Ovis aries: one gene and its partner. The protein of the gene in region 1 binds, or shares a complex with, the protein of each later gene. Links are inferred from orthologs where the notes say so. Each region holds a gene or a part of one and is shown on either strand. Other genes may lie near its edges. The genes, in order: KIDINS220 and XPR1.

The links.
Region 2: the proteins of KIDINS220 (region 1) and XPR1 are in contact, whole or in part, in a cryo-EM structure (PDB 9JXQ), measured with the Homo sapiens proteins. The link is inferred for Ovis aries from reciprocal best matches to the Homo sapiens genes KIDINS220 and XPR1. Residues at the interface, in NP_065789.1 of Homo sapiens: Glu36, Cys37, Gln39, Asp70, Trp72, Met102, Trp105, Trp110, Tyr113, Lys114, Val138, Ile142, Trp143, Gly146, Arg147, Ser166, Asp167, Lys168, Tyr169, Gly170, Trp176, Arg179, Lys180, Gln198, Glu199, Gly200, Ala201, Ser203, Lys234, Arg267; in NP_004727.2 of Homo sapiens: Leu95, Lys189, Lys190, Gln193, Glu197, Ala200, Asn204, Glu205, Ala636, Asp637, Asp638, Leu641, Leu642, Gln644, Met645, Met646, Asp647, Gln648, Asp649, Asp650, Val652, Arg653, Asn654, Arg655.

What each region holds. Positions count from the first base shown.
Region 1 is NC_056056.1:18,278,353-18,294,218, reverse strand, and holds part of KIDINS220 (kinase D-interacting substrate of 220 kDa), read left to right. Parts: intron 1-853; coding exon 854-1,051; intron 1,052-2,719; coding exon 2,720-2,818; intron 2,819-4,721; coding exon 4,722-4,820; intron 4,821-5,820; coding exon 5,821-5,919; intron 5,920-7,054; coding exon 7,055-7,232; intron 7,233-10,048; coding exon 10,049-10,213; intron 10,214-11,169; coding exon 11,170-11,349; intron 11,350-12,344; coding exon 12,345-12,510; intron 12,511-14,164; coding exon 14,165-14,316; intron 14,317-14,475; coding exon 14,476-14,765; intron 14,766-15,850; coding exon 15,851-15,866. UniProt on the Homo sapiens protein: Promotes a prolonged MAP-kinase signaling by neurotrophins through activation of a Rap1-dependent mechanism. Provides a docking site for the CRKL-C3G complex, resulting in Rap1-dependent sustained ERK activation.
Region 2 is NC_056065.1:61,203,867-61,220,512, reverse strand, and holds the start of XPR1 (solute carrier family 53 member 1), read right to left. Parts: upstream 9,693-16,646; 5' UTR 9,520-9,692; coding exon 9,451-9,519; intron 1-9,450. UniProt on the Homo sapiens protein: Inorganic ion transporter that mediates phosphate ion export across plasma membrane.

The DNA of each region.
Region 1 (15,866 bases):
TGTTACTGCTGTGTGGAGACAGAGCATGATTCTTACCCAACCCTGGAAGCCATACTGTTCACCTGCCTTTTTCTGGGCAGTTTATCAAGTGAATAAGTGGCCTGTCTCTATGTTGACTGCTGAAGAATCTGAAAAGGCTATGTTATTTAATATTGAGAGTTATGGCTTAGTTCCAGGGGCTGATATAATAACTAAAATATTTCTATAAGGGAATTGCATGTTATCTCAAACTAGATAAAAATCTCAAGAATAAATTTTAATATTTGTTTTGCAGTGAGTCAGATTCTTATATTAGGTGATTTATTTTTAATAAATTAAATGTGAAAAGTTTTTAAAAGAACCTCTAAAAATAAGATCGTTTTGAAAATGTGGTTTCTGGGTCACTATAAGAAAGAAGAATATATTATACTGTTATTGAAATATTCTATACTTTTTAATTCATTGTTTCACTTACATTTTTTGTATAGATTCTATTACAGATTGTTACTTGTTTGAAGTCTGTTAACCTTACTTTGGATTACTTCATTTAGAATGTGTTTAATTTTGAATCATCCTGTCAGCTATTTTACCATTCAGTACTTTTGTGAGAGGATTTGTTCATTGTAAATGAGTCCAAATTTAGGTTATCATTTAAAGATTTTGATGTCAGAGAACTAACACATCTTCAAGAATGGAAAATATGCTTCCTGACCACTTTTGGTATGATCATTTCTGATTATTTATGTTGGCATTTTATTATCAGAAATAATTAGTAATTATAGGTCACCTATTTGAAAACATCAGTTTTTGACTAGGGCATAAATTAAGTTGTCTGAAATGACTAATTTATTGGACTTTTTTGTTTGTACTTTAGAATTCAATGACTGCACTTATTGTGGCAGTAAAAGGAGGCTACACACAGTCAGTGAAAGAAATTTTGAAGCGAAATCCAAATGTAAATTTAACAGATAAGGATGGAAATACAGCCTTGATGATCGCATCGAAGGAGGGACATACAGAAATTGTACAGGATCTCCTTGATGCTGGGACATATGTGAACATACCTGATAGGGTAGGTTGTCTATTTAGAACTTGTCTTCCAGTGGTGATAATGATGGAAGGTACCTTAACTTCTCAACACCTTTCAAGGTTCTTCCTGCATAACATATTTAAGATGTTTTATTTCTACCTTTAAAACTAATAAGTTAAAACATATTTAATCTTTGTGAAGGGTGTTCTTTTCAGTTAAAAAAAATTATATTGTTATTGATAATGTGATCTTAAAATCATCCTTACTGTAGGTCTTGTTCATGGCTGGTGGTGTTCGTTGTTCTAAGACTTCAGGTACCACCCTTACACTTAATAGCGTTTTCAAGTTTGTATCTCTTGCTGTGACCTCTTCTCAGAAGTATACACTTGCATGTCCATTTCCACTTAAACTTTCCATGTGAGTGTCTAATGGTCCTCTTAATTTTCAGCAAAACAGATGTTTTGTTTGTTTGATCCCAAACCTGCTTTCCCCTCAGACTTCTCCATCTCAGATTGTTCCACCATCTACCGTGGGTTAAAGACCCATACTGTACACATTAGTCTTGAATTCTCAGTGACTAAAGTCACTCCCCAGTCACCTTCTATTGCATCACTCTCTTTTATTTGCATTACATTTATCTTGTTTTTTATTTTTGTTTATGTTGTCTGTGAGTCTCCTCTAGACTATACATTCTCCCGGAGGTGGGACCTTGTCTAACTTATTTCCTAGAGCCTAGAATAGTGCATGGTGCATAGTAAGCAATGGAATATTTAGAACCTTGTGTTAATATCCTAGTTTGAACCCACATTAATGCTAATATTCTCAAAGTGTTTTTGCCATGGGTTTATACTTTTAATGTAGTAGTTAAGATATTACATCGTGGCTCAGTTCTCAATGGCCTGCATCTTGAATTGCAGCCCACTGGGGCCCGCTTAGGATTGAGATGAGCTATAGCTCATGGAATGATACAACTCAAATCCGTATAACTGATTTGTAATTTAGCAGTTAAAAAAAAAGGCCATTTACAGTATTTGAAGTAGGGAAAGATATAATTAATAATGATTATTGCTTGGTGAATATAATTTTAGGGCAGAGCTGTCCTTAATGAGGTAATGAACTTCATCTAAACCTTGTATTGAGGAATGAGTCAGTCCTGGGCATTCTTGGTCTGTACTGCCAAGTAGAATATAGATTCTGTTCTGGGAACCAACCTTGTCCCTTAATTAAACGTTGTTATAAACCCACAGATGGCTCTAGCTTTGCAGCTCCCTTTAGAGTCAGTGGCTTTTGTCAGATAGCATGATTCCAACGGGTTTGTGTTATGTAATTTGCAAAGGTTCATCTGGTTCATTGACAGTCATGGCGTCATTTTATTTAATTTACATTTGTAATGAGAGGGTGCCTTCAAAATAGAATGGCTTGTTGTTCTGAGTGACTTACCTTTCTAAACTTTTGTCCTGGAATTTCAGATATAAATGTCCTCATTTTGATGTATAGTTTTCTGTCCCTTATTCTACAGGCATTAATATCAGGTATTAATACTAGTTACCTAAAACTTTATTGTTTATGGAAAGTATCTGAGATACTTTTTTCCCAAGACATTTCCAAAAAAATTTATTGTATTAATATATGATTAATCTTAACTTCAAAACAGTATTTTTTGTTTTCCTCATCAATTATCTCTGGCTGTCTTTTTTTTTGTCCTTTTAGAGTGGAGATACTGTCTTAATTGGTGCTGTCAGAGGTGGTCATGTGGAAATTGTTCGAGCACTTCTACAAAAATATGCTGATATTGACATTAGAGGACAGGTGTGTGTGATTACAGACTGTTATCTGTGACTGTAATTGGTCATATATGTTGGTTGATCATAATGTCATTCTTTGAGTTTTCATATGAAGTTAAACTCATAAACACTACTACATTTAATGGATGCCTGTATAATTAAGTTTCACTGCCATTATTTTGAAATTTCTGTATTAATGTCAAGTTAGATAGAAATGAACCATAAATAAGTTCATGTTTTTCAAGTACACCTCCCTTATTAATGACTAAATATATTCAATCCTGAAATTAATAGTTTATAATACTGAGAAATGGCAGCACTTTGAGTGTGTGTGACTTGTTTTCTTTAGTGTTCTCCCTCTGTTTGTCTTCTTCATCCGTGTATTATTCTATTCCTGTTTTGTTTTTTTTTTTCAGTCTTTCATCTCCTTTCCCCCACTTGCTTGCCTTTCTCAGGACCACTTGGTAGTGCCTGTGGACTTTGTTTAAGGCAGTCACAGCTCACAGAGCTATAAAGGTTATTCATTTTAGGTAAAAGCACTCCTAAAGTTGTAAATTTATTCAGTATGTCAAAAGCTTTAGATTAAAAAAGAAAAATCTGTACTTTACAACCCATTTTGCTGTTGGACAGTCTGTATTTCTGCTCAGTTTTTTCCTTGTATACAAATCCATTTTTGAATCAAACTAATAAACATTACGCCAAATGCCATGAGAGTCTTTTAACATGGACCTCTTGCCTGTAAGAAACATGTATTTTAGTTCGGAAGGTTTTAGTTCATTTAGTTTATACTTAAACTTACGTTTTTACCTAAACATAAAAAGTGATGCCACTTTTGATATCAGATAGTGTATGGTTGATTGCCTAGTGAAGATTCAAACGTAAGAGTCTTGAGGTGGTGAAAGAGGGCGTTAAGGAGAACTTTTGAGGGAAGGTAGAATTTGCTAGTTTGAAAAATTGGTTGAGTTTGGATGAAGAAAGGCTGAGTAATTCAGGCAAGGATAGTAGAATAATGGGATGAGAAAGTTCAGGAAAGTGGGAAAGTGAAAGACTGTAGTCCTTAGCTAATGAATACATCAGATTGTTAAGGAGGGTGGGATGGGAGATAGTAAAGTACAAAGTTAGAGGTTAGTAAAGTACAGATTAGAGTGTCAAACTCAGAAGGTTCAGAAGCTAGTGTGCAGTTTTGAGAAGGGAACTGTGTTGAGAAAATGTTGGTGAAGCAAACAGTGTGATAGTGGCTGAAAGTCATTCATTGAGGAAAAAATCATATTTTCACTAAAAGTAGGTGCCTTGATCACCTATTTTGACTTTTATCTAACTCCTTTGTGTTTGTCAATTCTGTTTTCCAACATTTTAATCAGTTTTTGTTTTTCTTCTTTAGCTCTGCTTTCAAAATCCATTTGAATCTATTTTTGGTGTTTGAACTAGATAGGATTTTAAAGGATCTGATGAAAATCAGTTTATGGATATGGGTGGAGATTAAGAAAGCTGAGAATGACAGAAACAATTCAGCTTATGTTTGTGTAGTACATTCTCATGCATTATCTTTTGAAAAGATAGGGCAGATGAAAAGCCACAAGCCAAGGTCAGAATATTTATGTGACTTCTCAAAGGACACAGCTCAAGTCCTGAAGACCTCCAACACAGTGCGGGGTCCTGAAACCTGATTGCATTCCAGAAGCATAGTTGACCCTATCAGCTGTGTGGGGTTGCTGCTTCCTAATCAAGAAGTGTTAAGTTTTTCTAGACTTCTTTTGTAAAGAATTTCCCACAAGTAAATGCAAGGTACAATAAGGATTAATATTATTTTCTATCATGCTGCTTCTTGGTAAAATATATTAATGCTTTCTGACAGAAATGTTAATACTGATGAATTTTTAATATTCTGTCTTATATGAAGTGATTGTTGATTTTTAAAATTAATACAGGACAATAAAACTGCTTTGTATTGGGCTGTTGAGAAAGGAAATGCAACAATGGTGAGAGACATCTTACAGTGCAATCCTGACACTGAAATATGCACGAAGGTATAAACGCCATTTCTATCCTTTTAGCAATACCTAATGCTGAATGTTAGTAGTGCTTTTTTTTTTTGCTTCAGTTTTTACAACTGTTTGATATTAGAATGACAGGGATTTTACCGGTAGTGTTCTGTATTAAGTTGAGGAATAGCTTTATATCCTTTTAGGAGTTGTGTATTCACAGCAGAATACACTGTGTAATTTGTTATTTTAATTAGATACTTTCAGAAAGTACAGTATCAGCTGTTCATAAACTGTGGCCAGATCATTTCCCCAGAATTAATTTATGCTCCTGTTGTTTGGAATGCTGAACATGTTTCTTTTTAAAAGATCAGTTTGTGTGGTTATTGGTTCCTCAAACCAACCACTTTAGTCTGTTTTACTCCATGTGCAAAGTATAAAACTGTATAAGACCTCAGTGATTATATTTGGCCTTCTGTGTAGTAGTTGTTCTTGAGGAAATTATATTTGAAATTCTGAAATGGAATGGCAGTTCTTCCTGAATAAAGCAGACTTATGGAAGCACCCATAATACAGCCCTGTTTCATCTACCAGAGATTTGGAGCAGTGTTATCTGAACTAGTGATAGTGACTGCAGTGCCCTGGATACCTTCTGGTTTGCAGGCTCCTTGGAATCTTTTTTCTTTTGAAACTGTGTGTCAGCTGCTCTGACCACATGTGGCTTCTGACACATTTTGCTTCTTCCTAATTCAGTGCTGAACTATGGTCCCTTCTTTCTCTTAATTTGGTTTTGAAAGCAATTAGGTCATTCTTTAATAAGCAAGTAGTGGGTACATCCCTTGCTTGGCTGAGTGACATACAAGTATTTTGATACAAGTGGTTGGTTATGGAAGGAAAAGCACTTTCTTGTTAGTTTTTGCAACTGTGTTTTCTTGAGAACATTTTCAATATAGACTGGGCAAATATTTGACTTCTTGACGTGTGTTTATGTGACTTTAAAGACTAAAGATATTAATCTGGCAAACCTTTTTATCTGTACCCACAGGATGGCGAAACACCCCTTATAAAGGCTACCAAGATGAGAAACATAGAAGTGGTAGAGCTGCTGCTGGATAAAGGAGCCAAAGTGTCTGCTGTTGATAAGGTAGTTAAAACATTTGTGCAGAGAGCATAGGGCAGTTGGTAAGACCAACCTGTATACCTGGTGGACTTAGGGGAGTCTCATTTTATTTTGTGGAAGGAGAGATTACTGACTGGGGATATCTGTGTGGGATTTGAATGCTGTGAGATCTTGGCTATTCTGAGAGGTGCTGAGGAGTGGGCAGGCTCAGTTTAAGAAGTTCCTTCCTGTGTTCCCTCTGTGGCTCAGATCCGTTACGGGGAGCTGAGCTGCATTGAGCACCATGCAAGGATGATGTCACCAGGGTGGATCTTGTTGCAGAGAAATAAGAGGGAAGGATCAAGATAAGCCACAGGAAGAACGTGGCACATCATTTCCATTTAACGTTCTGGAGCGACCAGAGTGGGCGGGAACTAAGAATTTAATTTGTTAGGTTTTGGGTCATTGTCTTTAAGAGATGTTTGTAAAGTAAAAGGTGGAGAATAAGTTTAGTCTTTGCAGACTAAATTTCTTTTTTACATGATAGTTTTCATTAGTGCTGGATATGAAGAGTAAAGTGATGGAGATCCTAATAAGGGAAGAAGGCAGGTTGATGTTTGAGAGAGGTGAAAGCTAAGGGAATGAAGAGGTGGTAAGTAGGCAGAGAACGTGGATACAACAGAGAGGACTCCGAGGGAGAAAGTGTAGAGAAAGACGATGATGGTGACCAAGGGCATGGGGAAAGACAGGTTCACTCATGGTAGTGAAATACCAATATGGACTGAGATGCTGTGTAGACCGACGACGAGAGCATTGTGAAATACAATATAAATTAGTTGAGGAAGAAGGTTGACATAGGTGGACAGTTAGTATCTGAATGGTAGATGGAAGTACTATTAACTTATGATGGAAATGGATCCAGGGCCTGTGGGAAGCAGCAGGGGAAACCTGTTCCTTGTGCTCTTTCATTCTGGAGGCTCTGGGAGAAAGAATACCTACCCAAGAAAAGCTAGGGAAGGAACTAGAGAAAGAAAATTGCAAGGAAGATAGAAATAAAAACTTATATGAAAAATATGGAGAGTTTGGGTATTCTGTTATTTTGTAGAAATATGAAAAATGTTATTCTGTATATTCGTCCATGAGAAGTGGGGAAGTTCAAGTGTCCCTTCACTGTTTACAGAAAGGAGACACCCCTCTGCACATTGCTATTCGTGGGAGGAGTCGGAAACTGGCAGAACTCCTTTTAAGAAACCCCAAAGATGGACGGTTACTGTATAGACCCAACAAAGCAGGCGAGACTCCCTACAATATTGACTGTAGCCATCAGAAAAGTATTTTAACTCAAATATTTGGAGCCAGTAAGTATTGGGTTTTGTATCTGCTTGAGGTTTTAAGAAAGAACGTCTATGAAAAAATTAAGAGAATGACAGCAGTTTTGTGTTTATCACTTAACCAGAGATTATAAAAGGTGAAAATGTTATTATTTTGCTGTAGAAAAGTAACTTCTTCCTGTCTAGAGTTCGTTTGCATTATATTGGAGCATTCTAAATTAAGTACATTCAGAGTCAACAGTAGCTTTTAAAACCTTCAAAAATCTAGCCTACTTTTCTAAAAATCTCTTCCCCCTGTTATTCTCTCAGGTAAACTTTGTTCTTTTATCAACATGCTCTGTTTTCAGTGAGTGGCTCTCTGCCTCTGCTTGTGTTGTGCCCACTCCATTCTCATGAATGTTCTTGTTAAAATCGTCTTTCTCCAGGGCTGGGGTCAACCGTCTCTTTCTCATTGACGTTTTGACTGATCTGCCTAACCAGATAAAATTTTTGCCTCATTTGAATACTTAAGCGCTGTGTTAATCCTTTTTAAATACCTATTACATATGGCCTTTTATTTTGTTTCTTTTAGAATTTTCTCCCAGATTCCAAGTTATTCAGGGCAGGTTTTCTTTCTTCTTATCTTGTATCCTCCGTAACACCCAGCATAATGCCTTGAATATTGTACTAAAGTAGTTTTTGCTTGTAGAGGATGCACATGAGACTCTAATCATTCGCATGTGGTCTTTTGAAATATGGAGCAATTTTCTACTCAAATTGAAAAGAGACATGTTAGTCCTAGAAACCAACAGGAGAGAGTAGAATCCTGCCACCTTCCAGTTTCGCTGTTTACTTATATCTTGTTTTTAAGCATGATTCTATTGAGTTTTGCATTTTAAAATATTTTTTCTGATAATAATACATGCATTAAATTTTAAGGATGAAAACACAAATATAGTAGAAAAAAGTGCAGTCTTCCCATTGTCCCTTATCTCCTAATTTGTCATTGTTTGGACAAATTGTAAATTCTTTACATTTCTATACTATGTATATAGCCTTAAAAAAAACTTGAGATACCATATTATAAAAGTTTTAAATGATTGTTGCATAATTTTTCAAAGTTTTAATAGTATGTTCAGTTCTTTATTGATAAATATTTTGTTTGTTTTACAATTAAAAGCTAGTGCGTCAGTGAACATACTTGTACAAATATCCATTAACTCTTTATTTTTAGGATTATTTTCTTGGAATAAACTTCTAGAAGTAGAACTGGCAAGTCACTGGGTATTCAGTTTTGATAGACTTTCCAAAATGGCTGTAACAATCTCTTCTTCCTTAGGCCACGTTTGTGCAATTCCCTACAACCTTGCTAACACTGGATATTTCCAGCTTCTTATTGACCTTTGCTAATCAGGTTGATAATAAAAAAATTTGATATAAATTTCCATTGTAAAATTATTAGTGAGATTGAGATCTTTTAATAACATTTATAGCCTATTTGCATTTTTACTATTTTCCTCTTTGTATCCTTTGTCCTCTTTTTCTTTTAAAGTATTTAATAAAATTAACTTTTGTGTTTTTAAGGATATTGATCCTGAATCCAGCTAAATATTGTATCTCTCTCCCCAGATTATTCTTTGTTTATGGTGATGGGAGTTTTTTTATTCCCCATTTGAAAGTTATATAAATCTGTAGTTTGTTGACCTTTTCTTACAGCTCTGGCTTTAATATTATCTTGAGAAGGGAAGCTCTTTTCCACACAAAGATTTTTAAAGGTTTTTCTCTTGTATTTTCTTGTACTTTTATAGTTTTACTCTTTATGTTTAATTTTTTGTTTCAGAAACTTATTTTTGTTGAAGTATGAGATGTAGAGTTTTAATTTCGTTAAAAAGAAGGAAAAAAAAAAAAATGGCTTACTTCTCCCAACACCACCTACTAATTCATCCTTTCCCCACTGATTAGACATGCCACTTACATTAATATCCTGTGTGAGTTCTATGGTATTATAATTATTGTAGTTTTAGAATGTATTTTGATTCTTCTCCAAAGAGAGCTAATTGTTGGTAGTCTTTAAATTTTTTTCGTAGCTATTCTTGTTTTTTAATTTTTTAGAATATTCTCATCAATTTTTATTGAGATTGCCTTAAAGTGATAGATTAATTTGGGGAGAATTGCTATTTTTTAGTCATTGACCCTTTCTGCTTGGAACCATAGAATATTTTTTTCTCTGCTTATCTCTTGTGTTTTTAACTAACATTTTATAGCTTTATTTTTATTTGTACTGTACATATTAAATTGATTCCTATGGACTAGTTTCTGTTTTAATCTTTTTATTGATTTTATAATACACTTTACTCCACATTTTAGTATCCTTGAAGTTGGACTTTGTCTTATAATTGATGGGTGAGAAAGCATTGTGTCATAATTAGGCAACATTTCTTCTCTCAGTTGAACATAATAATGATGCCTCTTGTAATTAGTAGGTATCTTAAGTTCTGTGAAATATGGTATTAACTTATTAACCTTTGAACCTATTTTTACACAGGTCTAACCTTGGTGGCTTAGATGTTAAAGAATCTGCCTGCAATGCAGGAGACTGGGGTTCATTCCCTGGATCAGGAAGATCCCCTGGAGAAGGGAATGGCAACCCACTCCAAATTCTTGCCTGGAGAATCCCATGGACAGAGGAGCCTGATGGGCTATAGTCCATAGTGTCGCAGAGAATCAGACACGACTGAGCAACTAACACTTTCAGCCTTTTTTTTCCTTTAATTGAGTTAACAATTAATACTTGAGAATTGATGCTCCTTTATAATAATAATGTCTCTTTTTAATGTTAGGGTATCATGTGTTTATAATTACAGGACACTTGTCTCCTACTGAGACAGATGGTGACATGCTTGGTTATGATCTGTATAGCAGTGCCTTGGCAGATATTCTCAGTGAGCCTACCATGCAGCCGCCCATTTGTGTGGGCCTGTATGCACAGTGGGGAAGTGGTAAATCCTTCTTACTCAAGAAACTAGAAGGTAAAGGGCTTGTTTATAAAGTGTCTGTGTATATAACAAGGTTTTCTCTTGTGTGTTTTTTAAGTAAAAATAAAGTTTTATGTATGGGTGTGTGATTGATCCTCCACCCAATCATTTGAGTTCTCTTTCTAAAACAAACATCCCACTGCATTAGAACCCCTCCGTAGCAGATTTCCTGCCTGTACTGTTTATAGATATCTTAAACTTATAGGTATCTTAAACCAGGGCCCTTCGCAGACATGTCAGCTTGTGTGCTCCCGCCTTCTAGCACTACCTCTTGTGCATGCTCAGTGCTGTAGTTACAGATGGCTGTTTGCTCTGCTAGGTGCAGACCAGACACTTATGGAGTGGCTCCTCTGTAGGAGCTTCCTAGACATCTCCCGCGACCTCTGACCTGAGACCCCACTCCTTTTGCTTGGCAAAATCTTACTTGTTTCTTCAAGGACAGGTTTCAGTATTGCCTGTAACCTTTTTTTTTTTCCCCACTAAGTTTTGTAGTAGGAATGAATGACTTGTTCCAGGCTCATTTGGGCTCACCTTTAAGAGCAGTGATCCTCAAATGTAACTGGAGGGAGAAGTGGTGAGGAGGTGCAGAGAAATGGTGATGCTATGTTTTCTGAAGACACATAGCAAAGTAATAATTTTTAGTTTTATATATGGAAATAATACTTTGTTGGTTGCATAATACAAATCTCAAAATATCAACAAAACCTTGACAGATGGGAATATATGAGAGAGGATTTTGTACATTTTCAGTAGGACGCAAGAGAGTGGGTAGGGCAAGGGTCAAGGGTAAATGTGCCTTTAAGGAATGAGATTCTTAGCAAAAGCGAACATTGGTTAGCATGGTTAAGTAGCAACATTCTAGTAGGTAAATAAATGTTTATAGTGAAAATGTGAAATTTTCAAAATGTTCTATTTCTTAAATAATGTTTTCTTATTAATTTCTCTTTCAGATGAAATGAAAACTTTTGCAGGACAACAGATTGAACCTCTGTTTCAGTTCTCATGGCTTGTGGTATTTCTGACCCTGCTCCTTTGTGGAGGGCTTGGTTTATTGTTTGCTTTTACAGTAGACCCAAATCTTGGAATTGCAGTGTCATTGAGCTTCTTGGCTGTCTTGTATATATTTTTTAGTAAGTCTTTGCCTTTTATCTTTTTCAAAAATGTAGAGAATGTAAAAACTCCTTATTTTATTTAAAACTGTATCTATGTCTGTTTTCTAAAGTCTCTAAGTGGTTTTCCTATTTAGGTGAAAATATTGATTTTTTGCTATTTTGTAAGTTGGCTTACAGGAGCATTGTCCCCAGCCTGCCTGGCAGAACTTCAAAAGCTAGTGTACTACTTGTTAATATTGAAGCAGAACTTTAAATTACTTTCCCTTTTTTATGTTAAAGATTTATATTTGAATCTGTTTTGAAAATAAGTCTTCATAGACATCATGGCATGCTCTTGATCATTTTGATCATGACTGTAATTTTTATTTATCTAAAAGCAAAGTGATAAATGTATATAATCCCTGTTTTTAGGAGTGTCTTCAGTTGCAAGAAAGGAAATAGGTTTACTGTTGGTAACTTCATAGCAGTCACAAATAGAGATAAAACCAGTCATTCTGACATTTGAATCTGAACTAAAGGATATGCTTTGGTTTAAGGCATTATCCTTCTGATTGTGTTTATTATGTCACATTTTAGTCAGCTTACTTTCTCTTTTTCACATACCTGATGATATGTTTTTGCTACTGCTGTTGGTCAGATGCCCGCCCAGTTGTGTCCAGTTCTTTGTGACCCCACAGTCTAGCCCATCAGGCTCCTTTGTCCATGGGATTCTCCCAGCAAGAATACGGGAGTGGGTTGCCATTTCGTACTCCAGGGGATCTTCCTGACCCAGGGATTAAACCCAGATCTCTTACGTCTCCTGCATTGGCAGGTGGATTCTGGGAAGCTCCAGATGTATGTTGGGGGAGGTTAATTAGTTGAGGAATTCTTTGAGGACTAATTAGGAAATAACAATTGACCATGAAAAGTGTGTAAGCTTACCTGTCACTACTTGATACTTGACTGTTTGCAGAAAAGAGGCTGCTTGACTAATGATTGTTCTGGATAATTTTTTTAAAAACTTTGACTTTTAGTTGTCATTTACTTTGGTGGACGGAGGGAAGGAGAGAGTTGGAATTGGGCCTGGGTCCTCAGTACTAGATTGGCAAGACATATTGGCTATTTGGAGCTCCTCCTCAAATTGATGTTTGTGAACCCACCTGAGCTGCCAGAGCAAACCACTAAAGCTCTACCTGTGAGGTGAGTTGGTCCCTTTGACAGAAGTAACTTTTAATAAAATGAAGCAAATGAAAGTTGATAATGCATCTTTTCTCATGTTTTTTTAAGAGACCAAAAAAACACATTGATCCCTTAAACTTTTTTAATGTGAGAAATAAACATGCCCTGGTCAAATACACTTGGAAAACTCTTCATATTACATCTCCCTCATGTACATTACAGGATCAGAGACACCTTTTCATAAAAAATTATATTTAACTTTGGTTTGCCAAATTTTATTTGAGTGAAGCCCCACATTGCCCCCTGACGATACTTGTTACCATCCTTTGGACAAATCAGTAAAGAGTACTGGGTCTAGGATGGAGTCCTGGAACCTTTTGACATCAGGGTGTGGCCTTGCCAACTCAGCATGTGCTCCAAGCTGTTCTTTCCTCACCTGTGGATATGTATTTACCCACTCTTCTAAAGTTATCATCATATCAAATGATAATGATATCATTATTATTAGGTATGATAATACCTGATAATAATGGGAAGGTATGAGCAAACAGTTCAGAAAAGATGAGAAACTTGTAAGTCAAAGAGTAAAGGCAATCTGGAGGGCCCCAGAGGAAAGTAAAATGGAAAAAAAAAGGTTAAAGAACTGAAAGCAGAAGGAATTCAACAGAAATTAGTAAAATAATTAAATATGCAAAGATTAAGAATTTAGAAATTATTAAAAGATAAAATATGTGTAAGTTAAGCTGAAAGTGAATGGACCAAACCTGGTAAGACATCAGAACTATGAGAGGAAGATAAAAATAAAACCTTACAGGTAAATAAATGGTATATAGGATTAAGTGTTAAGAAAATGATTTAAAATGAAAAACATAAAAAGAAAACAGAATAGAATAAAAAGAGTTGGGGAAGATATTTTTACATAAATTAAAAGCATTTAAAATTAATGAGATCATTATCTTATAAAAAGTTAGAACAACTAAAATAGCATTAATTTAATTAAGACCAGGCATACATAGAGTACATTGTGATCCTGGATTGTATTTTGAAGGCAATGCTTGTCTATAAGATTAAGATGGGAGTTTAGCAGTAGAAAGGAATAAAGGAACTAATGCAGAAGTAATACCCATTCAGAGGTTCAAAATGCAAATAATTCAGTTATTTCACAGAACAACTAGGAAAAGAATATAACTTCTTTCTCAACCCCTGGTAGATGAGTAAGCTATAAATAGGACATTCTGAAGCTTGAGTTTTTAAATGGCATCAAGTTCTTAATTACTATACTATTTTCTCAAGGTTCTAATCTCTTCAGTTGTTGTTTACAAAATGTTCTTTGTGCGGCTCCTGACTGATGTGGGGCGCCACTGTTGAATTGTTGTGTCATGAGATCTGGGGAGATGTCTGGCTCCTTTGTCTAAGTTCTGTCATAACCTTTTCCCTTTTCTGCTTTTAGTCAGAATTGCTTCATATAACTCTACTAATTTAACTTTTGTTACTGTCTTTTCCTAAGAAAAGAGTATAAGCTCTTAGAAATGGAAGATACCTAATTACAAATAGAATTTTAAAAACAATGTTTTGACAGAGACATGAAGGAAACACAGCTACATGATAGACATGATGTATGTTGAAACTGTTTCTTTAGGTAGCAGCATAACATTTTCTTTCCCCTTTCCCCAAGGTTTTTGTTTACAGATTATAATAGACTGTCCAGCGTAGGCGGGGAAACTTCAATGGCTGAAATGATCGCCACCCTCTCAGATGCTTGTGAAAGAGAGTTTGGCTTTTTGGCAACCAGGCTTTTCCGAGTGTTCAAGACTGAAGATACGCAGGGTAGGACCGTCTTCTCTTCTTTCTGTATATGGAGAGGTTGAGGATGGGATGGACAAAATGCATGGAAACATGAACATCAGGTTCGTCATATGCTGTCACTGTGATGAGTGGGGTTTTCTGGATGTTTGAGATGTTAAAACCATTTGTCGTATTTTACAGGTAAAAAGAAATGGAAAAAAACGTGTTGTCTCCCATCTTTTGTCATCTTCCTTTTCATCTTTGGCTGCATTATTGCTGCAATTACTCTTCTAGCTATATTCAGAGTTGACCCGAAGCATATGACAGTGAATGCTGTCCTCATATCAATTGCGTCCATAGTGGGGTTGGCATTTGTGCTGAACTGTCGAACATGGTGGCAGGTGCTGGACTCACTTCTGAATTCTCAAAGGAAACGCCTCCATAATGCTGCCTCCAGACTGCACAAACTGAAAAGTGAAGGATTCATGAAAGTAAGCACACTTTGCTTGTTAGAAAATAATTCTGGGAATTCTCTGGCGGTCCAGTGGTTAGGACTCTGCTTTCACTGCCAAGGGCCCAGGTTTGAACCCTGGTCAGGGAACTAAGATCCCACAAGCTGTGTGGTGCAGCCAAAATAATAAAAAAAAAAAAAAGAAAATAGTCCTAATGTGAATATGCTCCCATGATCATCATCACTGGGGCTTTAGGGAGTCTATTTTCTGTTAGAGAATTGCACTTGTTTTTCATTTTAATTCAGATTTTTCCTATGAAAAATGCATGTGTAGTGTGGGAAAAAAGATCCTCATAGAGTTAACTATAGCTTCAGTACTTTGGCCCCCAGATGCAAAGGGCCAATTCATTGGAAAACAGCCTGGTGCTGGGAAGGATCGAAGGCACAGGAGGAGACGGCAGAGGATGAGATGGTTAGATAGCATCACCGACTCAATGGATATGAATTTGAGCAAACTTGAGATAGTGGAAGACAGAGGAGCCTGGTGTGCTGCAGTCTGTGGGGTCACACGGACACAACTTAGCAGCTAAACAGCAACAGCAAAGAGTTAGCAGATTATCCTTCAGGTGGTAGTTATTACCTAATAGTTTAGGTTGCTCTGCAGCCTGATAGAGTAGACAAATTGAACCACCAAAACATAGAAGATAGGAATGTACTTTTTAGAGTAAAAAGGACTTTATACAATTATCCGCAGCCCCTTCCTTTGATCAAGGTCACATGCCATCAGGAAGCCAGTTGTGGTGTGGCATGTAGACCATTTGGATTTGCATTCTAATTTGTCTTCTGACCTTCAGAGCATGTGATCTTGGCATGTAAGTCACTTCAGCCAAGTTTGTTCTTTTAAAATGGATATGACATTGTCTATCTCTTTGTAAGAAATGCTTTAATTTAGATGAAGGCACTTTGTAAATGGTGATGCATTCAGTACAGTTCTACTAAGTGGAACCACAGCTGGCAGCAAGCACTTTGGGTTTCTTTTCTCCCAGTAGGCGACTTTCAGGCTCTTTAAGAGAGGCACTTAAGTTTCTCGTATCTTCAGCGCAGTGTATCCTTTCTTTTGCACAGGTTCTTAAGTGTGAAG
Region 2 (16,646 bases), on another chromosome or scaffold:
TAAACCAGCAGGATGTAGGAATTAAGAGCAGGGGCTCTTTCAATCTCATATCTGCTAACCACAATTAGCAGTTTCAACATAATCAGTTACTGAATGGCTCTAAGACTCAGGTTCCCGGTCTACAAACAGAGCGAACATAAAAACCTACCTACACAGCTTGCTATAAAGAGATGCTTTTCAAGTAATGCCATAGTGACTGACAAAGTAAGCACTCAAAAAATAACAGCTGTTGTTACCGCCCCTGTTAGCACCACTGCTATTTACAATTCCCATATAAAGGCAAGAGCTCCCAAGTATGACAGATTTTATTTCAAATTCTGGCTCTACTACTTAGTAAGTGTATGGCCATGAACAAACTGGTTAGTCTCTCTAAGCCTGAGTTTCCTCATCAGTAAAATGAAGATAATAAATCATCTATCTATCTTCAGTTCAGTTGCTCAGACTCTTTGCGACCCCATGAATCGCAGCACACCAGGCCTCCCTGTCCATCGCCAACTACTGGAGTTTACTCAAACTCATTTCCATTGAATTGGTGATGCCATCCAACCATCTTATCCTCTGTCGTCCCCTTCTCCTGCCTTCAATCTTTCCCAGCATCAGGGTCTTTTCAAATGAGTCAGTTCTTAGCATCAGGTGGCCAAAGTATTGGAGTTTCAGCTTCAGCACCAATCCTTCCAATGAATATTCAGGACGGATTTCCTTTAGGATGGACTGGTTGGATCTCCTTGCAGTCCAAGAGACTCTCAAGAATCTTCAACATCACAGTTCAAAAGCCCTCAATTATTTGGCGCTCAGCTTTCTTTATAGTCCAACTCTCACATGCATACACGACTACTGGAAAAACCATAGCCTTGATTAGACGGACCTTTGTTGGCAAAGCAATGTCTCTGCTTTTTCATATGCTGTCTAGGTTGATCATAACTTTTCTTCCAAGGAGTAAGGGTCCTTTAATTTCATGGCTGCAGTCACCATCTGCAGTGATTCTGGAGCCCAGAAAAATATCTTATCTTAGCCAACAGGAATTTGTTGCATGGCTCAGGAAACTCAAACAGGGGCTCTGTATCGACCCAGAGGGGTGGGGTGGGGAGGGAGATGGGAGAGAGGTTCAAAAAGGAGGGGATATATGTATACCTATAGCTGATTCATGTTGAGGTCTGACAGAAAACAGCAAAATTCTGTAAAGCAATTATCCTTTAGTAAAAAAATAAGTTAAAAAGAAAAAAAATTCTATCTCACAAAACTATTGTGAAGATTAGATGAGGTAACAAAGCTGCTGACACCTTGTTCCTAACTGGTCAATAAATGCTAATTTCTTTCTCCTTAATGACAAAAAGAGCACATTTCTACTAATTCAATTCAAGGAATAGAGATTAGAAGTGAGAATCCCAGAGAAGACAATACTCTTTTCTCTATCATTCTGTGCAGGGGGATATACCAGACAATTCTCACTCATGGGATTCTCTTTATCTTCTTTTGTGCTTCCTAAGACTAGAGAGCTTTTTCTCAGGCCATCTCCAAATGTTCTGAAAGGAGTTGTGTGTTCAAAGGCAGCAACTCTTAGAAACTCTCTCAGGGAACCCAGAAGATCAAAACTATTTTCATAATAATACTGAAATGGAGCAGGGCCCTACGATCTTTTGCCCTTCCCCCACCACCCACGCCACCCTCGACCTGCCTTTTATCTGTGGAAAAACTTTAGTCAAAGATTAAGTTTGATCAGAGAAGTGAGAAAATGCCAGGAAAGAATCCTCCTGCAACGCGGGAGACCTGGGTTCAATCGCTGGGTTGGGAAGATCCCCTGGACAAGGAATGGCTACCCACTCCAGTATTCTGGCCTGGAGAATTCCATGGACTATATAGTCCATGGGGTCACAGAGTTGGACGCGACTGAGCCACTTTCACTTTCATTGAATCCATGTTAAATTTTGAGGTTTCCCAAGTGGAGCTAGTGGAAAAGAACCTGCCTGCCATTGTAGGTGGCATAAGAAGACACAAGTTTGATCTCTGTGTCGGAACGATCCCTTGGACGAGGGCACAGCAACCCATTCCAGTATACTTGCCTGGATAATCCCCATGGACATAGAAGCCTGGAAGGCTACAGTCCACAGAGTTGCAAAGAGTTGGGCATGACTGAAGCAATTTAACACGCAGCTTTATTTTAGATAAGGAAACAGCAACCCACTCCAGTATTCATGCCTGGAGAATCCCATGGACAGAGGACCCTAGCAGGCTGCAGTCTATGGGGTAAGAGTCGGACATGACTGAGCAACTAAACCATCACCACCAGTCATTATAAAGTATAGTCAAAGAGCTTTAGTCCCTTCTCAAGGGATATGGAATAGTCTGAGCCACATCCTGTGAGCTGTCTTACAGATACTAAAACCCCTACCACGTAGGAAAAGTTAACTGCATGATGACCAGACTGTAGCCATGACATAAGCTGCCAAAATTCTGAGAACTGGCCTCAAGGAAACAGGAACAAACCGACCATGGGACTGCAGATTATCTGTACTTAAAATATATGAAACGACGCTGGTCAGACCACCGATAATCAATTTCAAGATGACTGTCAGAGCTGACTGTGCTGTTTCTGCATATAGCTCCCTCCCTGCTGCTGCTGCTGCTACTGCTGCGTCGTTTCAGTCGTGTCCGACTTTGTGCGACCCCAGAGATGGCAGCCCACCAGGCTCTTCCGTCCCCGGGATTCTCCAGGCAAGAACACCAGAGTGGATTGCCATTTCCTTCTCCAATGCATGAGAGTGAAAAGTGAAAGTGAAGTTGCTCAGTCGTGTCCGACTTCGCAATCCCATGGACTAAGCCTACGAAAACTCTTGTCCATTGATTACAGAAGTGGGGCAGGTGTTGGTCTTTGGATAAGTATGTCATTTCCCCACTCCTCCCACTCCACCCCGCCCCCACTGCTGTTGCTGACATCCAAAATAAAGCAAACTTTTCTTTCCACCAACCTGGCCTCTTTATTGGTTTTTGAGCAGTGAGCAGCAGGGCCCCATTATCCACTACAATACTACAACATCATGCACTTTTTTCACTCATTCTTTCACGAGTACACACAGTGGAAGTTCCCAAAGACCACATGAAATGTGATGTCACGTCCCTGAAGGCTAGTAGAAGGTGTGCTTGTATACTCTGTGTTTCACACATCTCTTAGTTTTAATTTCAAACACAGCATATTATCAATAGATAGTGGAATCTTTTTAACAATTTTTAAGAGTTTCAAATGGTACCAAGACCAAAAAGTTAAAGAATTACTTCTCTAAGGTATAGAAAAAGCTCACAAAGCACATGGATTACTCTGTGAATTACAACTTTACCAATTTAGTCTAAATAAGTAATTCACACAATAATCTAAAAGCTTCTCATTTTCCTGTATGATGTTTCAGGGCTTCAATCTTCCAAAAAATGACTTGTTCACTAATTATCTGTGAATATTCAGTGACAGAACTGGTTCTAAGGACTTGCATCTCCTTATTTATGGTCTACAGTCTTTCTAAATTCTGCAGGTCATCTTCAATAAGAGATGACTATGTTTTCTTAATCATCACACTGTCCCTCTCATTACACATAATATGAAAGTTGCAAGTTATGCTTACAGCAAGTTAATTAAACTTTCCCGTGATCTATAATAAAAAACTTTTTAAGGCTTTTCTGATACCACACATACCACACCTGCCTAGTGATAGGAAGAAACAGGTAAGCAAATTTCCTTCTATAAACAATTAAATTTAAAGGTGTATAACGTAAAAAGTTTGAAAAGCCAGGAAGAATTCTTCCATATTATTTACATAGTGATCCAAATTTACAACCATGTTCCAAGTCCTCAATCTACAATCTTCCTTTTCTACACCATTTTAAGTTTTGAAAGCACTATGTTGAAATATGTGCTTGAAATATGACTGAAATATAAAACCAAACACATACACACAAAAAACTGGTTTTTGATAATATTTTTAAGATAAAAGAGATAGAACTTAATGACAAATCTATCAGCCTATAGCACATAACAGAGCCCTTATAAACATGTGTTGAATGAATAAATAATTTTTTTAGGCGTTTGTTCATGAGCATTGTCTACTTGACTTCTTTTAGCATTTCCTAGGTAAGGGGAAGACCTGAAAACAAAAATACAACCAGGTAAGACCCCTAGTGAATTTTGACAATCTCCCAAAGGCCAATTAAATAAATACCAAGCAACCCACAAACTACCTCCAGTTAAGCTGTACAACTTGAGCAAAATCTTCCAAACCTTTTTTGTTACATTACTATTTTTAAAAAGTTTACCATGCACCTCTAATATATGTACATTTATTTATAAATTATCTCCTTCTACAATTGTGTACATTATAAAACATGGAATTTTTAAATGGAAGTTTTAAAAGATGAGACAATAATAAACTAATTTAAACTTTCACTTGTGAATAATACAAAAATATTTTTAAGCTCTCTTAAGAAATTATCAATAACAATACTTTTAAAGAACAATCTAACAGAAAAGATTCACTGCCTTTTAAAATCCTAGTTTTTAGTATTTCAAAGGCCTAATTCAAACTTCAAGATTCAGTTAATTTTGAAACTTGATGATAATGGCTACAAGCTGGAAAACTGACCTTCCAATGCAGAATACTCTAATACATAACATATATTTAGGGTGAAGTTCACTATGGATGACAGTGGATGTTAAAATCTTAATTTGAAGAATTATTTTCATTATTTTGAAACTTTTTGGCAAGCCTGTTAGGTCTATTCAAGTAGCACTGTTTCTTCTGTAACTTGGCTGACAAAAGCTCGTGCTAGAAGTAGAACTGTCAGCTCTGCCATGTTCTTGTTGTTCATGTGTACTCACATTATTGGTTTCTTTACAGGAGTCTTTTTTTAATTCACATCCATTTTATATGGGTTAGTTTAGTCAAAATTAGGTAATAGCCATAAATTCATCTAACTATATGCAACTATAAACTGAACTGCTATTTCCTGAAAGTGAACAAACAAGTGAGAAAACTATTAGCGATTCTTGACTCTCCTTCAGACTACCTCCTAAAATGAGGTCATCTCATCAACATATTTATTCAATGTTAGTAAAATTTCATTTCTTCCTGTCTTACACATAAAAATGAGCATAAGTAACACTTCTAAAACTACCTTCTCTTCCTTCATGGGAGTGTTGGGTACTCTCCTTTGGGGCTATGATGCAACATACTCTATTAAACATACTCTAACATACTCTATTAAACAATGAAAATAACAGTAATAGCTTCCTATCTTATACAACAATTCACTCAGTTAAGAAACATGTGTAAATACCAGGCATCTTATTGCTCTACTCATTTACAAACGTTATTTTAAATATACTATACTATACTTTCATTTGCAGAGGTGCCTGAAAGGAAAAGTGTGGCTTGTGCCCCATCGGGTGGCCAAACTGGAAATTTCAAACAAGTTCCAGCAAGGCAAGTTAACCCTAACTAATCAACATAATTCCTTTGGGAAATTGAAGCCTGCAACACAAGTGTTCTCATGGGAGAATTCTATAAATGAAAATCACAATAATGTTATGGTGTTTCCTTACACTCGAAAAAAGGGATATGCATATTATGCAGAATCCTTTCCATATCTTGCAACAACAAAAATTAAAACTATTACCATCACTTTTTATTTGAGTTCAATAAAAGCTTCATTGGGTCAGTTTTCCATTCACAGATTAAGATAATCATCAAAATTTTTTTAAAAGATTATTAATTTAAAAGAATGCTTTTAATAGTAATACTTTAAGTTCTATCATCTTCATATATCAAGCATAATGAAACCATAAAAATGTACAGAAATTTGGAGCTATATGGGTTCTTAGAAAATAGAGGGCTGTAAGCCTAGAAATCAAGTCCAGTTCTCTCACTTAACAGATGAAGAACCTAAAGCCCAGAAGAGGAAGTGATTTCATCAGGATCACACAGTCAGGATGACCTGACTCTCAATGCTTACACCTCTGTGCTTAAGAGACTATATATGATACTGGACATGTAATTTAACCTTTCTGGATCTTTTCTTCCTCTGAAAAAACCAAGGAGACAGATAATCCGTCAATTCCATTTTAACTCTAAAATCCTGAAATTTAGATACCTCATTATTTTAGTACCTTACAAAACTACAGTATACACGGACAAAACCATTCCTGGTTCCTGAGAAACCAAAGCAGCACAGGACCCTAGGGAAGAAAACACAAGTCAGCAGCCAAAGGCACCAAATATATTTGCTTCTTTTGCTAATATTCTGTAAAATATTAACATGGTCATACCAGTCTGGTGGAAACTGGTCTAAATTAATTTTGATTAATCAATTACAGAGCTCTAAAGTATGCAATCACTGATTCTAAATTTTAAAAAGTGCTCTTGAAAAGATTTATTGATGTTCTGCATTACATGCCAAGATTTATACTCAAATAGATTACTGGAAACAGGGATAGCCTCTTTCCATTTGTGTTTATTCTTTGTAAAAACTATTCACAAATGAATCAAACCAATTTTCTTTGTATGATTTCTCCATGTTGCTCTAATCTTTATGCTTTATTATTCCACCTATGAAGATTGAGTCTATGAACTCCACGATTCATTTTTAAATTAGAAACTGATCATTTTCAGGATATTGATGGATCATTAACACTAATTTTAACAGTCCAAAAAATGAAAGCCATTAAAAGTTAAATCAAAACCCTACGAACTACAATGGATCTTAAAAAGCTCTAACCCTATATTCTTACTTTATGAAAGAGGACAGAAGCCAAGAAAGGCAAAAAGCCTGTCCCCATGGCTTCATGACAAACATATACAAGAATCAGCACTTACTGTATGACTGTGTGTACACAATAGTACATATAATCATAGAGGTAAAACAACATTTTCAGCTTCTGTCTAATGCTCTGATGTTTCAAGTAAAATTTAATGTAGCAAAATGACGTGAAAACCAAAATAGCTGAACAGTTCATAACAGTTCACAGCAGTAGAAAGCAGCCTACACTAGAAATCATGGGTAATATACCAAAATTTCATCACCAGTACTTGAAAAACAAATCCAAGTCTGCTCTACTAACAGCGTTTCAAGAGCATCATCTTCACATGTGAGAAACTACATTTTACTGCCATATGAAAAGGTTCTTCTCTCAAGCAAATGCTGACATCTTTCACGATATTCTTTTTTCCCCAAAGTTTCTAAGCTGCCAAATTCCTCTAAAGATTCTTATTTATGCCTCTTTATTTTTAAAGGAACAACACTAGGTCTTGAGAAACAATATACAACACACAGAATCCCAACCCTATAAAAAATGGCTCCAATTCAAAAAGAAAAGTGCTCTTTATTAATTTTCCCTACCAAATAAAGAGCTTACAAAAGACCCAAGTCACAGAGTAAGGACTCTCTGTAGAATAAAATTTCAATAATCTACAATTAATGCATTTTTTACAAAATAATTTTTAATTGGCCTAGGAAAAAATAACACAGTCATACATATGAAATGTGTTCCTCTCTGATCAACTTAAAGTAAACCATCTAGGACTAGTTAGCATCCAAATGCAGTATGTGAATTAAGTACCAGAATGACTCCAGCCACAAAGCTGGTATTATAAATCAAGAGGTAATTGCATCTTTAAGCCTTACGCTTCTCCTTCCAGCCCTAAAAACTGTATTCCAAATTAATACAATTCTATGAAACAGTTAAGAGCTGTAATACTTAAGATGAATCACAGCATACAACCAGTCACTATAACTTCTCCCCAGATGAAGCATTCCATACTATATAGGATGTTGCTTCAGGATGCCCTGTTCTATGAAGAACTGGCAGTGGTGCTGAAAATTACTACCAGAAAGATGAAAGACGAATAACTTCCTTTCAATAAAAACCATCATCTGGACTCTAGCCAAGGTTTTAAAACTGACCAAATGTTATTAGAAACAATAAATCAAGAGCTCTACAGGCTGAAAAGCTTGTCCCTTATTTCACTCTTACAAAATGTAGTCACAAAACACTATTAGAAAATTAAATGAAAGAAAGCGTTAACAACTCTAGGCCTTTCATTTCTGGCAATAATGAAATACTGTATGTTACCAGGTGAATTTACTTTACAATCTTCAAGGTTCTGTTTAACCTACTTATGTCTCTTTCCTTGCCTTCTTCAATTCTTACAACTGTTATATGAATAAATAAGCTTCTGCGATCGTCTAAACATCCTTTCAATGAACTTAAAATAGAAATGAAAAAGAGAACCAAAATATCTTAATTCATAAAATCTAGCTAGCATATTTGTGTTCGTATTGATTTTATACTCTTTGTTCCTGCACACAACACAGATGTGAATTACCGGAGGTTACAGATTAAGTCTCTCTATCCAGGAGCTGAACTGCCAGCCACTGAGAATAACCTATCGCAAAGCTTAAAACCCTTCAGGTATCTTGGCTTCTGAATACATAAATGGGCTCATTATCTTTACTTTTCCTTTCATTAACGTAAGGTTCCTTATCATTATCTATTAAATACCGTCCAGGAGCTGTTATCACAGAAATTAAGGGTGAGGAGGGCCATGATTTCTGTAATACACAGGAATGTTTTAAAAGTACATTACAAGACAGTACTTTTCTCCCTAGCTAACAAAAATTTTAGGAAAGAAAACCTGAAAATGTTAATAATTCTCTTCTCTTTCTTTCTTCCTCTTCCTTTCACTCCATTCCAAAACCGAAGAGCCAAAACCAAAGATATGATTCCTTTACATATTTCATGAAATCAGTGAAAACACGAGTCACCGTCTTATTATCAAAACAAAACAGTTGATTACGATGTTTGTCTACTGTAACCACTGCACGTGTGATACACATTTAAATCAAGTTTCGATCCTGTTACAAAGCCTTTGTCAACAGTGGGCAAGTGGGGGAAAGCTGAAGGGCTCCCTGAATTGAAGGAAATCACCGGAGGGGCTAATCTAGGAAGAAGATTCCTCGGGGAGAGGTGAGCCGAAAGAAACAAGACCTAACCTTGGCGAGGGGGCGCTCGCCCAGGGTGGGGACCAGAGGTCAGGGTGAGCGGGAAGAGGAGGGGATTAGCGCGGAACCGCTGTACCCCGGGCTACCCTCACACCCCGGCTCCGCTACCTGAGGCTCGCCCTCCCACCACCATTCCTCAGCCCGGGCCGGGGGTGCAGTCCCTCCCGGCCCGGAGCCCGCAGCCCGCATATCCGTTACCCCGGCTGCAACGGGGCTGCGGGGGAGGGGAAGGTCAGCGGGGCCCGGAGGGGGCCGGCCGCGGCTGGGATGCCGCAGTGGCTCCCCGTCGCACCGGGTCAAAGTCCGCCCGGGCACGGGGGAAGCAGCAAGAGCGGAAGGCGGCGGTGGAGGTCGGGACTTGCGAGATGGTGGCCCCTCCAAGTCCTCCCACTCCCCGGCCGCCGCCGGTACCTCATACTGGATATATTGCTTCCTCCACTCGGGAGTGATGTGCGCGGAGAGGTGCTCGGCGAACTTCATCCTGCCGTCTCCCCTTCACTCCTTCTCGGGTCCAGCAGTTACAGGCGGCGGCGGCGGCGGCAACAGCGACTCCGACTCCTCCCCACATGGGCCCCGGCGCGGCGCGGCGCTGCGCTTCTCTCCTCCTCCGCCGCCGCCGAGGTCTCCTCAGAGCCGCCCTCCCGCCATCTTCCTCCTCCTCTCCATAGCCCCGCCCCGCCCCGCCCTCTATACGTCATCGCCATGGTAACCGCCTACGCGCCCCGACGAAAAGGGCGGAGTAAGGGGCAGGATTTGGGTATGTTCCTTAAGGCTCCGCCCCTTCTGGGCCGGACGTACTGAAGGCACCTCCCCTGACCTCTTCCGTCTGGCTCCTGTTGGCCTTACAGCTGCTCGCTACCGCCTGCCTGGGAAGCAAGTGTTGTTATTGCAATTAATATTAATACTGTAGCAGCAATAGTCCACACAATACGTTTATATTTGCAAAGATTTGTGCAAATGTTTTTCCATTTTAATATTTATTCCTCATAAAACCCTGAAAGATGTATCGACATTAATCCAAATTGAGTAACTAGAACAGACTAAATACTTAAGGGCCAAATGTATTTCAAGGAACCCTATTTTACACGCTCTAGGTGCTCAATAAATGCTTATTGAATTTAATTAAAGACATCAGTGCCAAAAATTACATGCTGCCTCTGAATTTCAATGTAATTATCTTGTCCGGGGGATACCAGAAAGGCCAACAACACATGGACCCAAACTAGAATTGGGATTACCACCTGGGCTTGTGACTAAGCTTCCTGGGAATTAGAAGTGGTGTTGAGAGGGAAGCCCATGTTGGAAACAAAGAGAATTCTCTAGAGATAGGTTGGAACCCCACCCTCAGGAAGACCAGACATGAGTACATTTTGCGGGCTGAGTGTCCTCAGGGCGCATGCAGAACAGATCACTCACACAGCTTGGCACCACTTTGAGTGTGGGAGTAACTGATCTGGAGGACCTGATTTTGGACAGGAACCAAGGTCCTTTCGTGACTGGAGAAGCCCTGTATAATGTTAATGATAACTAACATTTGTTAGGTTCTCACTGTCTACGTAACAAATACTATTCTAAACACCTTACATGCACAGTACTTTGTCCTGTAATTCTCACAATTTTTATGAGACCCAAAGACTAAGGGACTACAATGGTTAGGACAGTATTCTAAGATATCAGCATCTACTATTGGCATATTTGTGTTTTCCTCCATGTATTTTTCCCCTTTCCCCTTCCTTTTAATTCATGCCAGTGTGGATTCTGCAGTTATTTCCTCAGGACAGGGATGATGCATGATGGAAAACAGTCATGGGCTATGAGTCTTTCTGACTTTTATTGTACAGAAAGCTTCAACCTCTGGTGAAAGGTTAGATCACTCACACAGCTTGGCACTACTTTGAGCGTGGGAGTGATTGACCTGGAGGACTTGATTTTGAACTATAACCAGGGTACTTCTGGTGAAAGGGTAATTGGGGTCAAAAAAAAGGAGAATAGAAGAAGGAGTGAGGACTCCTCTCAGCTTTGCACTATACCCCTCTGCTCACCATAACAGTTCCCCTCTACTGGAGGTAAATGTTGCCAGGAGAAAAAGACAGACAAGAGAGGTCCATGCTCCCAGGAAGGAGGAACAACCACAGAGAAGAAATGGTTGCATGGTGTTCCTAGGAGGACAAAACCAGGAGCAGCTGCAAAAGAAATTGCTGAGCCTTTACCAGATATGGATTAGAATGGCTGACTCTTTGTTTAATTGAAGTATAGTTGATTTACAATGTTTCAGGTACATATCTAAGTGATTCAGATATATATACATTCTTCTTTTTCAGATTCTTTTACTTTAGAGGTTATTCAGTTCAGTTCAGTTCAGTTGCTCAGTCGTGTCCAACTCTTTGCGATCCTGTGGACCTCAGCACGCCAGGCCCCCCAGTCCATCACCAACTACTGGAGTCTACCCAAACTCATGCCCATTGAGTCAGTGATGCCATCCAACTGTCTCATCCTTTGTCGACCCCTTCTCCTCCTGCCTTCAGTCTTTCCCAGCATCAGGGTCTTTTCAGATAAGTCAGCTCTTCGCATCAAGTAGCCAAAGTATTGGAGTTTCAGATTCAACATCAGTCCTTCCAATGAACACTCAGGACTGATTTCCTTTAGGATGGACTAGGTGGATCTCCTTGCAGTCCGAGGGACTCCCAAGAGTCTTCTCCAACACCACAGTTCAAAAGCATCAATACTTCGGTGCTCAGCTTTCTTTATAGTCCAACTCTCACATCAATATTAAATATAGTTTCCTGTGTAATACAGTAGGTCCTTGTTTATCTATTTCATGCGTAGCAGTGCGTATCTTTTAACCCCAAATCCCTATTTTATCCCTTCCCACCTTTCTCCTTTGGTAATATAAGTTTACTGTCAATGTCTGTGAGTCTCTTTCTGTTTTGTAAATAAGTTCCTTTGAATCATTTTTTTAAGATTCCTCAGGTAAGTGATATCATATAATATTTGTCTTTGCTTGATTTACTTCACTTAGTATGATAATCTCTAGGTCCATTCATGTTGCTGCAACTGGTATTATTTCATTCATTTTATGGTTGAGTAATATTCTTTACCTCATCTTTACCTCTTCATCTTTTGATGGACATTTAGGCTGCTTTCATGTCTTGGCTATTGTAAATAGTGCTGCTATTGAACATTGGGGTGCACCTTTTCAGTTAAAGTTTTCTTTGGAGATACGCCCAGGAGTGGGACTGCTGGATCATATGGTAGCTCTATTTTTAGTTTTTTAAGGAACTCACATATTGGTCTTCATAGTGCCTGTACATATTTACAGTCCCATCGACAGTGTAGGAGGATTCCCTTTTCTCCAAGCCCTCTCTAGCATTTATTGTTTGTAGACATTTTGATGATGGAAGACTATAGACTCCTGGCAGAAACTCCTACAGTTTGTGGCAGTAACTCCTATAGCAGTAACTCCTATAGCCTTCTCCCAACAGCATCATACCTTGGTGCCTCAACTGTGCACAAAATTCTGGAACCATGACCCAACCGAGGGAAGAAAGAAAATCCTCAATACTAGCTCTATAACAAACAATTTTTAATTTTTTTCATGACATTCAGTTGGACATGAGCCCCAACACTTAGAGCTCTGACACTCAGTTGGACATGAAAATCTTAATTTATCTACAGAAGTAGATTTAATGATAAGTGTCCTATTCCTAACATTACTTCAGATAGTTCACTGACAAAACCATCAGATACTTAGTATTTATTGAACACCTAGTTTCTACAGAGCACGGTGCTAAGATACTAAGAATGATAATCTGAATAGTTTTAGTCTGAATCAGAAGTGTTAATTACATTTTCTTTTGTAAATAGACAACTCTTCGTTTATCAACATTTTACTAAGTACTATGATATGTCAGCCATGCCACTTTGAGAATGAAGGACAGTTCAAAAATAAACATGATTCTGTCTTTTCCTCGAAGGACATCAAAATCCAGTCAGAAAGCGAGATAGGCCAATAGCTAGACTACTATGTGATATGCACTGTAACTGAGGTATCTACAAGAGACCTTCGGCTAACTAGGAAGGAAAAGTTGGCATCCCAAAGAATGCGACTCAGATACGGTCTTAAACAACAATCTGACAGGGAGAAAGACACCCCCAAAGATTCCAAAGGCAAAAAGAATTCAGGACTTAGAGAATGGCAGGCTTCCCTGGCGGCACAGTGGTAAAGAATCCACCTGCTAATGCAGGAGAGGCGGGTTTGATCCCCGGGTCAAGAAGATCCCTTGGAGAAGGAAATGGCAATGCACTCCAGTATTCTTACGTGGGAAATCCCATGGACAGAGGAGATTGGTGGGATCCATGGGATCACAGTAGTCCATGGGTCACAACTTATCAACTAAACAACAGCAACAGAGAATAGCACAAAGTTGTCTGACCCAAAGATCCTTTAAGGCAGCTAAATGTCCCTGCCTCAAAGAAACTCTTCCCCATTCCCTTACCTCCTTACCCATTCTGGCTCCCACATCCCCCCGGGGCAGTCCCCTCACTGTATCATCAACAGTGTCAGGCTATGAACTCCTTGAAAACAAAACACACTTTTCTCTCATTTTCTCCAGTTTAGCATGGTGCCTGGCATTGAAGCAGTCAATAAAATATTGATGTAACAAAGGAAAGAAAGAAAAAAGGAAAGAAGGACAGGAGAGAGGAAGAGAGGAAAGAAAGGGCATCCACATGGAGGGAAGTTGCAGGAAATCAAGTTCAGTCAGTTCAGTTCCGTCGCTCAGTCATGTCTGACTCTTTGCAACCCCATGAATCGCAGCACGCCAGGCCTCCCTGTCCATCTCCAACTCCCAGAGCTTACCCAAACTCATGTCCATCAAGTCGGTGATGCCATCCAGCCATCTCATCCTCTGTCATCCCCTTCTCCTGCCCCTAATCCCTCCCAATATCAGGGTCTTTTCTAATGAGTCAACGCTTCGCATGAGGTGGACAAAGTATTAGAGTTTCAGCTTCAGCATCAGTCCTTCCAATGAACACCCAGGACTGATCTCCTTTAGGATGGACTGGTTGGATCTCCTTGCAGTCCAAGGGACTCTCAAGTTGGAACAAAATTGTTAAGGAGTAGATCATGACAGCATAGGCAGTGCAGAATCTTTGGGAAAGTCTGTGAAGTGACCAACTCTGGCTTGGGAAAGCAGTATAGCGTGCCTTCCTGGGTTTGAACTCTGGCTCTAGGAATGAACAGATCTGAATTAAAACTCCAACTCTGACATTTGTAGTCTTTGTGACTTTGGGCCAAGTACATTAGTGCTTAATGCATCAGTTTCCTCATCTCTCACATGGGAATAATAACACTTGCTAACAGGTTGTTGTGAAGGTTGAGATTCTGCATATACAGCGCTTGGCATAATAACTCACCTCTGGTTGACAACTTAGTAACTCGCAGTCTCTCAAAAACCTGTTAACGGCATGAAGGATGAACTAACAAACTGGCAACCAATTCACTAATAAGCACCTATGCAGCATTTAAAGGCTTCCCAGGTGGTGCTAGTCGTAAAGAACCCGCCTGCCAATGCAGGAGACATAAGAGACATGGGTTCAACCCCTGGGTTGGGAAGATTTCCTGGAGAAGGGAATGGCAACCCCACTCCAGTATTCTTGCCTGGAAAATTCCACGGATAGAGGAGCCTGCCAGGCTACAGTCCCTGGGGTCGCAGAGTTGGACATGACTGAAGCAACTTAGCATACATGCATGTACCATTTGCTCTATGCCAGACAATTTTCTAACTGCTTAGCAAATACAAACATATAATCTTCACAAGGACCCCATGACATAGCTACTATCATTATCCTCATTTTAGAGACGAGTAAACTGAGACAAAACAGTTAAGGACTTTGCTCAAGGTTATCCACCTAGTAAGTGGTACAGCTGGATTTGAACCCTGGCAATCCAGCTCCAGAGTCTTACTCTTGACCATCACATTACGCTGACTGTTGATGCAACAACCTAAGCCACTCATAGTGATGGACAGAAGGAGGTGGGGCAAGTGCCTCTAACCCTAGTGACTGGCTAGACACTGCTGCCATGAACTGAGAAATGAAGTGAAGAGCAGATTTGAGGCATTGTTGGATGTGTTAAATGGTTAGAATCTATGAGACACATAGTACTCCAATTGAAAACACAGATCTAGAGCTCTGAAAAAAGAAGACTGGGCTGAAGACTGGGGAGCCATTCACATTTAGGTGATGATTAAGTCCTGGTAAGTCTGCCCAGGGAGAGAGCATACACCAAAATGGAAAGGGGCCCCAGGGATTACCCTGGTGTGAGCCTGATAAAGAACATGGGACAAAGAAAGAGGCTAGGGTGTGGCCAGAGTGCGTAACAAGACAATAAGGAGAGAGCAGTGTCCAGGAAGCCATAAAACAATGAAAGTTTCATAAAGGAAGCAGTGACCAACACTGTCAGATGTTACAGAGGGTTAAGGAAGATAACTTCTAGGCTGTTGTGTTTAGCAATTGAAGACTCACTAGTGACCTCAGAGAAAGTGACTTCCGTAGCATGAAGGGCTGCAGGAGGCCAAGCGGTGAACAGCATTCCTAAATTGCCTTTATTCTGTGTGCATGGTGTAGATCAGGGGTGAGAATTTACCAGCGTACTCAGCAGTTTATCTAGAAATTCATAAGTGCTGAGTCTGAACACTTCATATTTATCACACATAATTCTAAGTTTGGGAACAGTTATACTTACCACAAAGTAACTCTTCTAAAACTTAGAATTATGTGTGATAAATATAAAGTCAAACTGTTGCTTGAGCAAATGAGACTGGTGATCATGCTGAAAGGTGAAGATCTGACCTGCAGAGAGATCAAATCTTATACAACACTTTCCACTGAAGCTGAATTATCTAAGATGTCCTGGCAGTAAAGATGAGTCAACCCACAGCATAGGAACACTGGTAAAGATGGTATTATAATACCCCAAGGCAGGTATGATGGTGGTTTGTATCAGGAGGTTAGCAGTGGAGGTGATGAGAAGTGGTTGGAAATTGAATGTATTTTGAAGACAGAGTCAGCAGGATTTACTGGTGGATTAGACTGTGAGCAAAAAAAAAGAAGCATCAAGGATGACTCCACAGTCTTTTGCCTGAGTAATTGGAATGAGATTGGGGGACATCGCAGAAGGAGCGGGTTTAGGGCGGAAAATGAAACTCAAGAATTCAGTTTGGGGTGTGTTATGCCTGTCAGACATGCAGATGGAAATGAGCAAGGGGAAATTTATGGTTTGGAGGTCATCCAAGAGGCCCTGGGTCAAGATATAAGTTTGTGGGTCAACAGAATATAAAAATATGTAAAGCGACTCATGAAACTGCCCAGGAAATGAGTATAGATAGAAAAGAGACGAGCTCTAAAGACAGATCCCTGGAGTACTCCAATGCTTTAAGGTTGGGAAGACAAAGATTTAAAGTATAAAACAAAGCAAAGTGTTAAAATATAGCAAAGGATAACAATTTTAAAAGGATATTTTTCATTGACAAATGAGAAAACTGTGGTTTGGAAGGTATGGCAGACACTGGTGAGGTTTGGGAGTGACCTTCCTAGATGATGGAATT